Rattus norvegicus: one gene and its partner. The protein of the gene in region 1 binds, or shares a complex with, the protein of each later gene. Links are inferred from orthologs where the notes say so. Each region holds a gene or a part of one and is shown in the gene's direction. Other genes may lie near its edges.

Region 1 (3,815 bases):
TTTATAGCAATAAACAGAGCGATCTGAAATCTTTTTCTAGCCACCACAGTCACACCTACATGAATATAAAAAAAAAATTAATTGTTAAGTAACTTTAAAAGGAAGATTAGATAACTGAATTACACAGAAGTTACAAATCTAACTTGTTAAACATATAACTATAGGAAATCTTCAGATGTTTATGTTAAAAGTTTTTCCCTCTGAATTTAGAGAAATTGTTTAAAATTAAGCCTTGCTACATGTGAAAATACACACACCAACACTTAAATTGAGGCATGAAGATTTCCGGTGTCAGGCCAGCTTAGAATACATCAAAAGACCTATTTCAACACACACACACACACAATGATATTGAGTGTTCTCAGACCAAAGTAATATTTGGTGTGATGATTGACCCGTTGTTAGTGAGAAAACAGTGAGTTTCTTGACCACTTATTTTCCTTTAATCTCACTAAGAGGTTGTGGTTTGGCATTCCATAGTAAGTGTTATATTTGGTGGTGATAATAATCATGTGACCATGATGAAAAAAAACCCCTAATTAACATTATCAGGGTATTGGTCTACAAGATATCAGTGAATATTAAAGATTAGAGAAGATAACCAAATTTGATCATTATTTATCATTTGATTTTTCTATTTCTGGTTTGGATAGGTCATTCTTAAATTTCTAGTTGTAAAGAAATATCCAAAGGGCTGGAGAGATGGCTCAGTGATTAAGAGCACCGGTTGCTCTTCCAGAGGGCCCATGTTTGAGTCTCAGCACCCACATGATTGCTCACAGTCATTTTTGACTCTTCTGCCAGGAGATCCAACACCCTCTTCTGGCCTCTGTGGGTACTGCACAAATATGCATTTAGGCAAAACACATGCATATAAAATAGAACTTTTAAAAAACTTTAATGTATTTTGGAGATATGATCTACCCTATATTATAACATAATTTGTTATATATAACAGTACTTGGTAATTGTTTTCCTTTTAGATCACAGCAGTTGTTTTTAAATAAATCATAAGCCTAGCCTGGTGTGCATGCCTTTATTCCCAATACTCAGAAGGTGGGTGAATCTCCGAATTTAAGGCGAGGCTGGTCTATATAGAGAGTTCCAGAACTACATAGAAAGACTCTGTCTCAAGAATGAATGAATGAGGATTATTTATATGGCATTCTTTTCAATTTTCAGGCTAGATGAACTACAGAAGCAGCTACAGGAAGACATAAGACAGGGCCGTGGCATTAAATCTCCTATCAGAATTGGCGACCAGGACAGTACAGATGATGAGGATGGCCTCTCAGAAGAACACAGGTAGCGTCTTTTTACACTATCTATAATCTTCTAGTACTTTTTAACCATTTTTCAAATTTGGTATTTATAAAACAGCTGGATCTTTGACTGGCTGTTCAATGACTGATACACACTTGAATTTTGTTGAAAGGCAAACATTAAAACCAAATTACATCCTAAGTCTTAACACTGAGAGACTCAGTGGTTTTCATTACTGAACATATGAAATGTGTAGCCATAAGGAGGACTGCAAAACATTCTATCTGTCTCAGTCAATCCCCCCACCTCCCTCTCTTTCTGAGACAGGATTTTTCTATGTAAGAGCACTGACTGGCCTGGAATTCTCTGTAGACCAGGCTGGACTGGAACTCACAGAGATCCACCTGCTGCTGCCTCTAGAATGCTGAGATCAAAGTTGTGTACCTGGCTAAAATACTCTTCAGTCAGTCTTACAGTCTGACTTAATACTTTACCTACTGAGCCATCTCCGTACCCTGAGTTAATCAATCTTTAAAATTTATAGTATACCAAAAAGATGTTCATTGGTTCTATCGCATTAGCACATGCCATTAATTCCAGCACCCAGGAGGCAGAGAGAGGCAGATCTCTGTGAGTTCGAGGCCAACCTAGTCTACAGAACAAGTTTCAGGACAGCCAGGACTTTACAGAGAAACCAAAAAAGTACACACAAAATGCTGTTTTGTAAGAGTTTGCCAAGTGTTATGTATTCATCTTTTAAGTACAGAATCATATATGTCCTAACTCTTTAATATTCAATGATCCTTGTATTTCAGGGAATTTCTAAAGAAATTTTCAGTTACAGTTGATGCTATTCCTGATCATCATCCAGGTGAAGAAATATTTAATTTCCTCAATTCTGGAAAAATTTTCAATCAGTATACCTTAGATTTAAGAGACTCTGGTTTTATCGGAGAAAGTGCTGTGGAAAAGCTTATTCTCAAGTAAGTAAATCATAAATATTTGGATTTTTTTTCCTGTATAAATATTTGTTCTAAGGGCTGGAATAGCTCAATGGTTAATAACACTTAACTGCTCTTGCAAAGGACCCAGGTTCAATTCCCAGCATCTACATGGTAGCTCAGAACTATACATAACTCTAGTTCCAGAGGTTCTGACCTTTGTGGACACCAGACATATATGTAGTACACATACATGCATGCAGGTATAGTAGTCAGGGTACACTAGAGCAGTGTAACCTGAGTCATGACCCCTTTAGGGATTGCCTAAGGCCATTGGATAACAGATATTTACAATACATAAAGTTGTAAAACTACAGTTAGGAAGAATATATAAGAATAATTTTATGGTTGGGATCACCACAACATGAGGCACTGTATTAAACGGTCACAGCACTAGGAAGGTTGAGAACCATTGAACCATACAAAGTGAATTTGTATATATAGAAAGAGGGGATTTAGTAGAATGGTTTACAGGCTATGGTCCAGGTACTCTGGCAGTGGCCAGAAGAAAGGCCAGAAGTCCAGTTATTCAGTCAAAGAGGTTGGATGTCTCAGCTGGTCTTTAGTATACTCTGGAATCCTGAAGAAGTAAACTCTAATGCCAGTGAATGAATGAACTTCCTAGGAAAACGAGCCAAAGCAGGGGCAGGGGCAGGTAATCATTCATCTTCTATGTCCTTTATATAGGCTGGAGGTAGGGAGTGCCTGAACCTTTAATCCCAGCACTGGGAAAGCAGAAACAGGCAGATCTCTTGAGTTTTGAGGCCAGGTCTACAGAGCGAGGTGCAGGTCAGGCAGGGTTGCAAAGAGAAACCCTGTCTCAAAAAACATAAGAAAAAGAAATGGGTCTTCCTACTTCAAATGGTTTTGTTAAGGGGAAAAAAAAATCCCAAACAGGTGTAGAGAGATGGCTCAGCAGCTAAGAGCATTGGCTGTTCTTTCAGAGAACCCAGGTTCAATTCCCAGTACCCATGTGGTAGCTCATGACTGTCTGAATTCCAGTTCTAGGGGATCTGGCACCTCTATGTAGACATATACATGTAGGCAAAACACCAATGCACATGAAAATAAATCTTTAAAAAGAAATGAAAAGAAAAAACCCTTATGGGTGTGCCCACCTATTTGCATTTTATAGTCAGACTGACAATCAAGAATATCCATCATGGAAGCAAAATACCCATATACATAAAATAAAATCTGATTTTCAAAAGTTGCTCTTAAAAGTTTGTGACTGGGGCCCAGTAAGACTCTGCTGCTGCCTTAGATGAATGTGGACTGTCTGGGACTGTGGCCTGGTTGGTGAGTGATTATGTAGAGTATCCAGAGCCCTGTTTTGCTTCTTACACCACATGAACCAAAAGTGGTAGCCTACGGCTGGGTAAGTAAAGGTGAAAACTTTCCAAGTTGTCTTCAGTTTGCAAGTTTTAAGCCTGCTGGGCCATAAGAGATATTATCTCAAAGTGGAGAACTGATTATGTAAAATCCAGCCATGGCAGTTCACAGCTGTAATCCTAGAATTGCTGGGGCAGGAAGATCGCAAGTTTGGTGTCA
Region 2 (4,423 bases), on another chromosome or scaffold:
TGAGCATGCATGTGTGTGTGTGTCTGTGTGTATCTGTGTTGAAATGAATGCTTGATAGTATTATAGGAAATTCACCTTTCTGTGTCCCTTTATAACAATTCGCCCATTGAACCAAAACATTTGAAACCTGTAGCCATAAGCTTCTTGCCCAACAGGCCAGTGATCTCTCTCCTTCCCTCCCTTCCCCTTCTCCTCCCCCACCTTCCTCTCCTTTTCTCTCACCCTAGCTGACCTTAGCCTTTCAGGAGCTAGGATTCAAGGCAGGCACCACAGATGCCTAGCTCAGACCAGTGAGCCTTAACATATGTTTACCAGACTTTAAGCAATGTCAATATCACCCAGGAACCTGAGAGAAATACCAATTTCAGGGCTCACTCCCAAAGCTCAGCTTCTCAGTCAGAAACACTGGTGTGTGGTTCTGCAATCTCTATTATTCACCCTCTGTTGGAGATATAATTTTATCCTTATAACTTCTGCTTCTTCACAGCACTGGAGTATACAGGTACTCTGGGATCTCGTAGCTGTGTGCCGTTTCCGGCGGTTTCTGTCAACTAGGAACTCAACAAACTCTTGCATTTGACAGTTTAAATTCCTGCGACACATATTGTTGGTGAAACTGCAAATTGGTACAACTTAGGATAATTTGGTACCATTTGCCAAAATAACAATAAAAACATAGATTTGATCCAAAAATTCTGCCGCTGGGAATTTATCCTACAGATCTGCCTGCACACACAAGAGTGAGTATCTCTCCCTTATCTCAGCCTGAAGCCCCAGTCACTCAAACACTAGTTTCAGGTTACCCTTCTCAACCCCTCAGGGCTTCTTAAACCTGAAGGAATCATGCTTCTTCTGCCAGTTGCAGGCCTCACTACCGGGTCAATTAAATGCTCTATCAGAGGCTCCATCAGCCCATTCCAGTGACCCCTCTCCCTGTGAAGCAAGCTGGCTGGCTAATCACACCTCCTCACACCTGCAGCCAGGGGCTAGTCACCGGCACCGCCCTCTATGGTCAGTTGAGAGCAGCGGTAGAGAACCTCTCAACCTCAGCGTTGTTCAAGCCGGCCGGCGGGCCGACCATGAGGCCGAGCCTCTCAGTTCTATCCCTCCCTTCCCTCTCTTCCCTCTCTCTCTCCTTCTCAGAGCGGAAGGGAGCTGGGCTCCTCCAGGGTTCGGTGACACCGGCCTGCCCCGGGCGCGCGGTTTCCCCGCGGTGGGCGGGGCTCGGGGCGGGACGGGTCCTCTGGAGGCGGGGAGGTGGGGGCGGGGCAATGGAGGGGGCGGGGCGGGCGGGATACTAACCCCGGTGTCGGCGACGCGGTCGCTGCAGTCGCTTCAGCAGCTGGACCCCGAGTCGCAGTCGCTGGGGCCGCTCGCCGCTCGCGTGGGGCTCAGCCGGGCCCGTAGCCATGGAGGACTTTATCGTGATCTCCGACGACAGTGGCTCCGAGAGCTCGGCCGGGACCCGCTCGGGCAGGGCGCGGAGGCTGCGCCGGGCCCTGTCCCGGACCCCCGGCGCGCTGCCCCGCCGAACCGTGGTGAGTGAATCCACTGCCGTTCGCCACGCCCGACGGGAGCCGAGCGTCGCCCCCTCGGGGCCTCGGCGTTGCGACCGTGGTACCCCGCCGCCGTGTCTTCCCGCCTTTGGCGGCCTCCGGCCTCGAGGAGCGCGGCGGCGCGGCTGGAAAGGCAGGCCTCGGGCTGGCCAGTGCTGAGCCCTACAGGGCTGTGCCGAGGAGCCGGCCGAGCACATGGGCGACACATTGAGCACCAATGCGAGCTGCCAGGCGGTGGCCAGCTGTGGCCTCTGGCCTGAGCTGGCACCTAGCTTGGGCAGCGGGAGAAGTGGGGGGTCCTGGCCAGGCCGCAGCCGCTACCCGGACCTCGAGGCGGGCGCGCGGGAGCGCGTAATTGTTTGGCTTGTGATGGGCACAGATATGTGCAAGGAGGTAACAGGAGCCTCGGCTGCGAGGAGGGAAGCGCCGCCCTTGGCACCGTGGCGGCTGCGCTGCAGGGCCTAGTTCCCGAGCCAAGGGCCCGATTTTTGAGTTGTGGAGAAGGACGGTTTGTTTTGCTTTGCAGATGCGAATCACATACAAAGCTCGGGGGCGGGGCACTCGCACCTTTGTTTTTCCTCCAGGTTCTCTTTATCCTTGCTCCTGAAGTGGTGGAATAAAAATATCTGTGGTCTCCGCCTTTCTAGAACTCTCCACAGAAATTTAGTGAGCCCCTACCGTGATCCAGATGCTGTGGCTTCGATTAGTCCAGGGATCGGTCTCTGATCTTCCTAATATATGACCTAAATCAAGGTCAGCTACTCCATAAGCATGCAAATCACTTTTTGAGTGCTCATTCCTTTTAGGTTGCCTTTGGGAAGTTGCAGGGTCCTCCTACACCAAAGGTAGGTGTTTTAGGATTACTATTGCTGTGATGAAACACGATGACCCAAAGCAACTTTAAGAAGAAATGGTTTATTTAGCTTACAGTTCGATGTTCATACTATAGAAGTCAGAACAAGAACTCAAGCAGGGCAGGAACTTGGAGGCAGAGGCTGTGCAGAAGCCGTGGATAAGTGATGCTTACTGTCTTGCTACCTCTGGCTTGCTCATCCTGCTTTCTCACAGAAACCAGGACCACTAGCCTGGGGTGGCCCCACCCACAGTAGGCTGGGCCTTCCCACAGCAGTCGCTAGTTAAGGAAATGCCCTACAGGCGTGTTTACAGCTGGATCTTAGGACATAGATTCTCAATTAAGGTTCATTTCTCTCAGATCGCTGTAGCTTGTTACAATTTGATGTAAAACTAGCAGGCTCTAGTTCCTCTTTAAGTTTCCTCTTAGGAGAGGAACCTAATTTTGCCTTTTTGTGCTATCTAGCTTGTAAATATACCTTTATGGTAGTTTGTCTTTTAACAGTACCTTTACTGTGGTATGATTCATCCATCCTACAACCACCATAGCTAATCAATCGTTTACTTCACTCCGAAAGGAAACCATGTGTTCTTCAGGTCCACAAACATCTTTGGAAAAGTGACCTTTCACCACCTTGGATTATGAATGTAATTTTAAATAGAGATAAAGAAAATTTAGGGTAATAAGCAATAACTTTCCCATTCCCACTGTCTGGAGAGCTACAGTGTGTGTGTGTGTATGTGTGTATTACTATAGAAAAATATCTATATATATTTTCTAATGGGTTGTACTAGTTTTTTTTTTTTTTTTTTTTTTTTTTTTTTTTTTTTTTTTGGCCGGGTCTTCTGTAGTTCAGGCTAGCCTCAGATTTGCTATGTAGCTAAGGATGACCTTGATTCTGATTCCGCTTTCACCTTCCGGGTATTGAGACAAGTGTACTTGGTTTATGGGGTGCTGGGGATCAAACGTAAGGTCTCAAGTCTTAGACAGGCATTATACACAAACTGAGACGTATCCCCAACTATGAGATTAGAATCGTCTAAAAATCTCTTAATAATTTAGGTGTTTAAATTAAACACCTCTAGCATATTTAGATTATAGACTATCTTATTATTGGTGTTCCATGTATATATTAAGTATCTTGGCACGTGGTAACTTATCAATTTCATGTTCTGTCATTAAAAAAAAATTATTCAGCTGTGCCAGTTTGTTCTTGCTATTGAAGACTGATGGAACTGTCTGCAAAGTAAGGTCATTACAATGGAATATGTGCTGCCCCAGATTTTAATTCGGTTGTTTCTTTCTTTTAAAAATATTTTTTAAATGTAATTATTTTATGTATGCATACACTGTAGCTGTCTTCAGATACACCAGAAGAGGGCATCAATTCCATTACAGATGGTTGTGAGCCACCATGTGGTTGCTGGGACTTGAACTCAGGACCTTTGGAAGATCCATCAGTGCTCTTAACCACTGAGCCATCTCTCCAGTCCCTGGGTTGTTTTCTTGATAGTTTTTTGTTTGGTTGTTTGGTTGGTTGGTTTTTGGTTTTTGGTTTTTCAGGTTTGTTTTTTTTTTTTTTTTTTTTTTTTTTTTTAGTATTTTTTGTTTAATATATTGTGGATAGTAGACTTCTATCAGATATGTAGTTGTTAAAAAATCTTCTCCTGCCAGGAGGTGGTGGTGCACACCTTTTATTCCAGTGATTGGAAGCAGAGGCAGTCGGTTCTCTAAGTTCAAGGCCAGCCTGTTGTACAGAAAGAGTTCCAGGACAGCCAGGAATACACAGAGAAACCTGTCTCAAAAAAAAAAAAAACCAAAAAAACAAAAAAACAACTTTTTTTTCCTGAATGACTGAGTCCTTTGCCATGAAGAAGTCTCTTGGTTCTAATTTATTAATTATTGATCATAGTGCCTGCATTAACAGTGTTCTGTTCAAAAAGTCTTGTCCTGTACCAAGAAATTCAAGGCTGTTCCCCCACTTTCTCTTCTATCAAATTCAGTACATCTGGTT

The links.
Region 2: the proteins of Slf2 (region 1) and Simc1 are in contact, whole or in part, in a cryo-EM structure (PDB 7T5P), measured with the Homo sapiens proteins. The link is inferred for Rattus norvegicus from reciprocal best matches to the Homo sapiens genes SLF2 and SIMC1. Residues at the interface, in NP_060591.3 of Homo sapiens: His738, Val772, Leu775, Lys778, Asp783, Phe786, Gln790, Gly791, Phe792, Thr794, Ser795, Ala796, Tyr797, His798, Tyr799, Cys820, Ile821, Gln825, Ser828, Met831, Glu832, Ile835, Arg836, Asp838, Thr839, Ser841, Asp842, Ser843, Pro847, Lys919; in NP_001295125.1 of Homo sapiens: Tyr426, Arg428, Leu431, Lys435, Leu438, Pro440, Val442, His443, His444, Leu445, Phe447, Gln448, Arg470, Arg471, Phe490, Asp493, Pro497, Val521, Asp522, Lys525, Glu526, Tyr528, Met529, Met532, Lys533, Gln536, Leu537, Arg571, Asn658, Gln661.

The regions. Positions count from the first base shown.
Region 1 is NC_086019.1:253,748,763-253,752,577, forward strand, and holds part of Slf2 (SMC5-SMC6 complex localization factor protein 2), read left to right. Parts: intron 1-1,182; coding exon 1,183-1,305; intron 1,306-2,078; coding exon 2,079-2,246; intron 2,247-3,815. UniProt on the Homo sapiens protein: Plays a role in the DNA damage response (DDR) pathway by regulating postreplication repair of UV-damaged DNA and genomic stability maintenance.
Region 2 is NC_086035.1:10,108,914-10,113,336, reverse strand, and holds the start of Simc1 (sUMO-interacting motif-containing protein 1), read left to right. Parts: upstream 1-1,326; 5' UTR 1,327-1,409; coding exon 1,410-1,538; intron 1,539-4,423.